Kluyveromyces lactis: one gene and its partner. The protein of the gene in region 2 interacts with the protein of the main gene of each other region in a pairwise test. Links are inferred from orthologs where the notes say so. Each region holds a gene or a part of one and is shown on either strand. Other genes may lie near its edges.

Evidence for each region. The genes of interacting proteins can lie anywhere in the genome.
Region 1: the proteins of UBP10 (region 2) and DHR2 interact in a two-hybrid assay, tested with the Saccharomyces cerevisiae proteins (4 studies listed by BioGRID, with this or other methods). The link is inferred for Kluyveromyces lactis from reciprocal best matches to the Saccharomyces cerevisiae genes UBP10 and DHR2.

What each region holds. Positions count from the first base shown.
Region 1 is NC_006042.1:2,427,046-2,431,058, reverse strand, and holds DHR2 (RNA helicase), read right to left. Parts: upstream 2,700-4,013; coding exon 501-2,699; downstream 1-500. Other genes in the region: AEP1 (Aep1p), read left to right, coding at 3,529-4,013. UniProt on the Saccharomyces cerevisiae protein: Probable ATP-binding RNA helicase. Required for 18S rRNA synthesis.
Region 2 is NC_006040.1:717,546-721,766, forward strand, and holds UBP10 (ubiquitin-specific protease UBP10), read right to left. Parts: upstream 2,754-4,221; coding exon 501-2,753; downstream 1-500. Other genes in the region: MRPL19 (mitochondrial 54S ribosomal protein uL11m), read left to right, coding at 1-174. UniProt on the Saccharomyces cerevisiae protein: Deubiquitinating enzyme involved in telomere and HM loci silencing, which is the repression of chromatin structure which leads to a stop in the transcription of nearby genes.

The DNA.
Region 1 (4,013 bases), on a different chromosome or scaffold from region 2:
CTGAGTTTACGTAGAACTTGAATTATCTCTTCCCATCCCATTCCAAGAGCAAAAATAAAAAAAAAACTAAAAAAAAACTAAAAAAAAATAAAAAAAAAAATACCACGACAAATTCTTGGAGAAGTACGGCCACAAACGGAAAAACCGTTTCTTTCCTCGGTGTTTTCTTTATTCTGTATTCCGATCTGGACACACATTATTGTTCGATTATGTTTCGAGAGCTGTTTGAAGAGATTTGACTGAAAGTGCCGTACAGAAAGAACTCACACAGGCCATTACCAGTGAAAATCAAATGTGCCTTCATTCTTTTTTTTTTTTTTTTCGTTTTACACTATTTACAATTAACTGTGCTTTGCTCGCATATGATCGTTATGATGTGATTAATTAATATATACAGTTCCCTATTTAGATCCTGCATTTACTGTACTTCGAATGCGAAGAAGTACGGGGAAAATTTTGGTTGATGGACCAGTTCCTTTACCCCGCGAATAATTCTCTCATTATCTTGTCGATTGCTTCAAAACGCCTGAGGCAATTTCTTGCAGCCATGCCAATTCAATTCGAGAAACAGACCGCGCGTATCCCTTTGTTGTGAATACGTGTTCGATGTATAATATCGCAGGGCATGGACCTATTTCATCGCCACTATTCATGAATAACATCGAGGACGGATGGATCGATATTGGTTCCCCTGTTGGCGTTGTTCTAAAAGATTTATCAGGCATTCCAATTGCAGTGTTCTTGACAAACCCATATAGGAAACATTTTAAAACACCCGCAATGTCTGGCGGCTGCAACAGATTCGTAGCAATGTCTTCTTCTGGTTGTAGGGTGTCCTGTTTTGTTTTAATTTCTACCGGTTCATTGTACAGTCTCTTCATATACCCTGTCAACTGTTCTCTGACTTTAATCACGTTTTTGAATCCACGCTGAGATACACATAACTGTTTACACCATTCTTGTTTCTCCGAATTGCTTTGTAATGATTGATACATGTCGAATAACTCTTTTAGCATGATTAGGTCACCGTGCTTACTGCCTAGGGTACATAATGCCCTTCTTCTTTCGTTGACCTCATCTCGTTCCTCAGGCAATGGGTTTAACACCAAGTTTTCAACACTCAGACATGATACTATATCTATGACGTATGGCAATACTTGAGTCTCTTGAGCATGAATCAAAACGTTACTTAGATGTGGTGCTAAAGGTAATAGCGCCATCTTGCGACCTCTATCAGTGACACGACCCTGTTCATTGAGAGCACCAAGTTCATATAATTCTTTTAGCCCCGAGATAATAGCTTCTTTCCCTGGATGTTCTAGCCACGACCAGTTTACAATATCTTGTACGCCGTACTGTTTCAACATCAAGATAGGGGACGTAATTTCACATCGAGTAATTTCGGACTCAGATTGTTTCGGCAGTTGTTTGTAATCAGCTTCTGTAAATAATCTAAAACATTTACCTGAACTTTCTCTGCCTGCACGACCGGCTCTTTGTGCTACACTAGCCTTTGAAACAGGAACAGTTAGTAACGTAGCTAGCCCCAACTGATGCCTCCAAACTTTCACCTTCCTTAATCCACAGTCTATCACATATTTAACTCCAGGAATGGTAACAGATGTTTCCGCAATGTTAGTCGCCAATACGATTTTTCTTTTGAATCCCTTTAAAGGTTCGAAGACTTTAGCTTGATCTTTTGGTGGTAATGCAGCATAAAGTGGGTATGCTGTGATGCGTGGTACAGATTCGTCTAAATATGGAATGATTTTGTTTAAAATGGCCACTGCTTTATCAATCTCTTCTTGCCCCGGTAAAAAACAGAGTATATCTCCTGTAGTTTCTGAACTGTTTAACTGAACTGAACAGCGTACCACACTATCCACTATATCTTCACAAGGTCTGGGTAGATAATATCTGTCTACTTTGAATTTGCGGCCTTCAACGAATAGTATAGGTGCGTTCGAAAAGAATTTGCTGAATAGATCTGCTTGTAATGTGGCAGACATTACTATTACTTTCAAATCTTTCCTTTTGGTCAGTTGAAGTTCCTTCAAAAAACCTAAAATCAAATCCGTCAATATAGTTCTCTCATGTGCTTCATCTATGATTATGCATTTATAATTGGATAGGTTCTTGTCCAGCATTAATTCTCTGATTAACATACCATCTGTCAAGTATTTCAATTTAGTTCTTGTCTTGTGACTTTTATTATCAAACCGAACAGAATAACCAACTTCGTGACCAATTCTACATCCGTGCTCTTGCGCCACCCGAGTTGCAAGATTGATTGCTGCAACTCTACGTGGTTGAGTAACAGCTATGGCCCCTTTGTGCATCGGAGAAATCTCATCCATCAAAAATTGGGGAATTTGTGTAGATTTACCAGAACCTGTTTCACCAATCAATATGGTAACTGGATTAGCTTTAATGTGAGACACGATCTTTTCCTTATTCTGGAATACTGGTAAACTCTCACGCCCTTTCAATAACCTCAGTGCCCTTGTCTTTAACTCTTTATTTGACACATGATCCAAGGCTTCGGAATCCGAATCCCCAGTATCTCCATCTTGATGGTCATCAAAAGTAACTACGGTCTTCTTCCCAGCGTGACGTTTTAACGGGTTTGCATTGGATTTCTTCTTTCCAATGGACTTCCCATTCTGCCGGTCTTGAACCGCTTTACTCTTCTTTCCCATCTGAGTGATAGGTCTATAGTTGAATCAAACTCGAGTGGGTCAACAAATAAGGAAGCTGTAGATCCTCACTGCTAGCTCCTTACAGCAAGTGGTTGGCAATAATAGCAATAATCTCAACTCAAGAAAGCTGAAAAGACCTTTGACAAAACCAAGCTTGTAATTTTCCATAGCTCATCGCATCTCATCTCTGGAAATAGCTACTATTTACGTTTCTGCTGAAAATTTTCTTAGCTCATCATCGATTCAATATTGCCAATGAAAAAAAAAACTGATATTGTTGATACATCTGGCATAAGATGATGGCTGACAAGAAGTCCTGAATGTATATCACACCTAACTCTCTTGCTTCACTTTCAAGCGTTACAGAGGAACTCTCATAATAAACGATTAGTCTATTATTCAATACTATACTGGAACGATATCCATTTATCAGCAGTGACAAATTCTCATCATTGCCTTAACATAGAGAAGGAATAACACCATCAAGAGAAAATTAGTTTATATATATATATATATAAACTAATGCTGTCTTCGGTGTAGTAAAAGAGTATCATATTCTTTGAACAGGGTGCTCTTTACTGGGCTGCGTCTCTTAATTGTAATTCCACGATGATTTGAACAGTGTTGAACTTGTATTTTCTCAAGCACCTTCGAAACTGAAAAAAAAAGCTTTATTTCAGCATGGTAGATAAACTCAACCTACAGCGTTAGACCTATAGGGGACCGTTCACCAATCACATCTGGGGAAAACTATATATTATCTGTGGCTACGACGTTAACCACTGCATCTACTATCTACATTTCACTCTCTCATCTTTTTTCCCGTGATATGAGTATACTTTCTAGAGCTGCTAATAAGTTGCAACCGGGCAAGACGCTACTGGTTCCAAAAAACAAATTCAAAGTAGCAGATGAAGAATGGGGACATCTACCTGAGTACGTGGTTCCAGCAGCTAACAAGATTGTACATCCATTCTACCAATATCCTAATGCTACCGAACGCACAGCTTTGTGCATCACTGAAAGGAATCCAAAACTTTTCAATGGGAAGCCGGTATTACCAGCATTTGTGAGACACCCAGTGACAAGTGAATCTACTCTAGTGGAATCCAGATTGAGTTTTGACACAGTTAAAGATGTATCAAAATGGGTTCAGAGAATACATAAATCCGGAGACCGTCTCTTTCATAAAGTCAACATTACTTCATCAGACTCCGGACCAAAAGTGAGAAAAACGAAACTGACCTCGGAGTCTCCATTTGTTAAACAATTAGACAACTTTTTGAACAGCCATCCACAGCTGTCATTCGAGAC
Region 2 (4,221 bases):
CAACCAAATATCAGTAACCCTGATAATGTATGTGGTGAACTGTCGTTAAAACATATATATGAGATCGCCAAGATCAAGAAGACCGATGGAAGACACGCTGCTCTGGAACTTGAAGGAATCGTAAAGTCTATTATCGGTGTTGCTAAGAGTATGGGTATTAAGGTAGTTCCATAAACTGACTTTTTTTTCACTAATCAAAGCATCGATTTGTGAAATAGTGAAGGTCTCGATGGAGAGTTTCATTCCAACTGGTTTATTAGCATTTGTAGACCTCATTTCGTGTACATAAAATAGAATAATGAAAAGATAAAATTATAATAATATATCAACTACTATAGATGAAGATGTATATGATGATCCAAATGAACTGAAACCGAAGTGAAAAAAGATGAACTGAAGTCAGTGTGAGGTAGATGCATGTATGACTGTTTACAAAGAAAGAATGAACAAGGATGCAAGTGTATTGTAAGCCGGTAGTTTAAGGAAAGGGTTATTCAAACTTATGGGGAAATCCTTCTCTTCTTGTTTTTTTTCTTATTCTTACGTTTAGAGTTGTTCTGCGATGATGAGTGTGAAGATGGAGGTCTTTGCAATTGCGGAATACCTAGATCAGTAGATTTATTGGAAGATTGAGAGGAAAGTGGGACCGATTTTGGTGTAAGTCTAGTGTACACTAAGAAGTACGCGTTTGGCTCTTTCAAAAGCTGTTTTTCTGAAATTTTATTGATGTATTCGTCGTCATATGTGGCCCAACTTCCATCTGGTTGCTTACAATGTGCGATATAATGACCGCTAGATAAAGATCGCCCTTCATGCACAACGACACTAATTAGTTGGTATCTTACGGGTAAGGAGCTGATTGATTCATGGCAGTATTCCGTTAGATCTAAAAACATTGGATAAGATACGGCCTGCTTCATTTTGGATGAAGATGTGCCATTAAATCTGAACTTTTTTAAATGAACCACTAGAGTCTCTGGAGCACGAATAATCTTGTTTGACTTTAGCGCGTTAGTAACTTTCTTACATTTCTCACATGTATACCCTTCTTTGTTGTCCACTCTTTTGATTAACTCAGGATTGAAGAAATCCCGAATAGATTTTTCAATTGAAAACCTTCTCTTTGAAGATTGCTGTTGATCAACAGAGTTATCAATTGAATTATCTTGACCAACAGAGTTTTGATCTTGATCAGTTGTCTTTCTACCCTTTAAATGCAATGAAAGATCGTATATAGGTTGTTCAGTGGTTGAAATCTCACCACAGTTACTGCATTTAACTGATTGTTGTAGTAATCCACCGAATACATCGTAAATGATGGATTCTGTCATTTTATGGCCCTTAGGAACCGAGTCCTCTTGTAAACGTGACATTAAAGACATAAAATATTCGTGAGAGTCCTCTTGGTTCCAAGCGCTCATCATACAGTTAATGTCTTCCAACGCATTGATTAATTTATCAGGATTAATGTACGTATTTTTAGTTGAGTCAGAAGACCACATTCTCATCGTAGTTTCCGCTAATAACATGGAAACACAGTTAGACTTAACGGTGTCCTTGAAATTTCCACGTAGTAATTGAAATAAATAGTGTTGAATTGCTGGAATATGAACCATGGCTTGCACAGCAGCGTTTGTGTAACATGTGACACCATGGTTGAGTAAACCCCTTGGTTTCAGCTGGGTCAACTTAGAGCCCCAATTCTTAACTATCCTCTGTGGTTTATTAGAACCATGGTCATTAATCGACTCGTTAAATTGGTAGAAGCTTGACTTGTCCTGAAGAGTGGTAGGAGGGGTAGGTGATAGAGGTTGTGGAGATTTGTGCTTCAATTCTTCATCCTCTTCCTCTTCTTCGCCATTTTCCTCTTCTTCAGGTTTGCTCTCAGAAGCAGCCGCAGTTGAAGATGAAGACACTCCTTTGAACTGACAAGAAGAAGCAGCAGCATGTTCAGTAGCCTCCAATTTGAGTTCTTCCTTTTCCTCTGCAGAAACATCCTCGTCATTCTCGTCATCCTCGTCTTCTGCTGATGCAGAAGAAGCGTGGAATGAACTGTCATCACTATCTTCATCTTCATCGACATTTCCAGGCTGCTCAGCAGGAGCAGCTAATGCCAGCGATGGTTGAACGAATTCATTAGCCTCATGAAACACTTCATCCTCATCCTCATCCTCATCGTCGTCATCAGACGACGAGACAGGAGCAGAAGTTGCAGCAGATGATGAAGAAGCGGAAGAAGACCCAGAACCCGACATTTCGTTTGAATCTGGGGTCACTTTGTTTTCCAACAACGACACGATTGGATGCTCCTCATCTTCAGTCGAGGATCCATGATAGTCATCATCACTGAGTAAAAGCTCATTGCTCAAACCGATAGATAATTTCCCCGATGGAGTCACATGAGAAGCGGTAATTGGTAATTGCGAACTTCTGTTTGGCTTAGATTCCGCAGCGTTTGCCGCACTTTTCTTAGTGGTATACATCTTCAACGCCTCTGCAAATGATGAGGGCTTGACCACCTTCTCCTTACGGGACGCAGTTGCAGTAGCAGCTATACCCTGATGATGTCCATGCTCTAACTGATGCTCATCGCCTTCTTTGGCTTCCTGCTGCTGTTTCTGGGTGCTCGATGAGATCATAATATACGAAGAGCCTTCACCACCGACGTTATATGAGTCCTCTTGAACAGCTTTCTTGAATTCCAACGGTTGCGAAACGATACGATCCACTAGTGGTTTTACAGAATCAGTCATTACCTTAGTTCTTCCTGATAGAAAACTGCACCCTAGCCCTTTTCTGTCCGCAAGCTTTTCGAACTCTTCTGAAATAACCTGCTGTTTAGTAAAACCTTTTCTAGTATAATATTTTATTTCTCTTTATTATTTTTTTTTTCTTTGATCTGGCCTTAGAGAGGGAGGTTTTGACAGCGAAAATTCGATAAAAAAAATGGATCCAAAGAAAAAAAAAAAAGAACTGAATCTATAAACTCTGGATATCAAAGTATCCGGGTAGCAAATAACCAGACACGCTCCTTTGACACGTTTTTGTGTCTGGTTTTTGGTGTGCCACAAAAAAAGCGATATGAAAGCCGGGTAACAGCAATAATGCAATACGTCATGGTATTTTGTGTCACGTGAAAGGATACCCGGATGTTAGTCATTTTCTTAAAAACACAACATCAGTGTTCCTCAATCCACCTCGCCGTCCCATCCGCCTCTCCTCCCTCAAGCGAATAAAAAAGAAAAGAAATAGGGCGGGATCTTGTTGTCCCTTTAATCCGACCACGCTGCAATGTCTCTATGACTCTATGTTTTGGGACACAAAAATAGAGACACAAAGACATCCATAATGTCCGTCTTTTCTCCGATTGGCTCGACTGGAATCCTTATCAGATTGCAATCTCAAAAAGGGCAACTGAACAGATACCAACCTCGATAACGTTCATAACATATCCATGATTAGGCTTGTTCGATAGCCGCTGACATGCTCTATGCAGCTGATGCAGCTATGAGGTGTATTTGTTTACGTTTCCTTTGTTTACCTGTTGATAATCTCTGTTTTGTATATATAAGTGCCTATCTCTTTGTTTACGTTCTCCAGATCTCTACAACTTTGACCTTTTTCCAAAGGCTCCATCAAACTGATTATTCGATTAATCACTCTTTTCCTCTCAACTCTTTTCCCTTTGCCCCTGTGGTTGAGCTTTCCATGTGCTAATAAATCCGCAACATGTACTCGAGATTGAAAAAGAAAGGAGGGGAATTTTTATGTACATTGGGAGTAAAAATAGTATCAGTCACTGACACAACCATTAGCCTCCGATTGTTAACCCCCCGCAAACACGTTTGACAAGGACTAGTTGTGGGTGGATTGAGTAATTAAAACGTTGCCGTATTGCTTGTAACTCTGTGACGCCTATATCTCCATAGTATCAGCGTTTTTGTAGCCTTCTTGAAAGAAAGGAAGAGGTAAGCCGAGGAGCTGAAACTCCAACAAAATGGAGATATGCAACTCTAAGATCTATGTGTTTAGATCTTTATTTACAGTTTCGAAAGTTGGTCATTATCTTTGTTTGTTTCTGACTTTGTAACGATTTGGAACGGCACTGAAAGCTATGACTGCTCCGAATGTGTTTACATTTGATTCAGGTTTTGGGCTTTCAAATTTCTTTCTTTTCTTCACTTTTTCTCTGTTGTCATGGTTTGTTTATTAGGCCTCCTG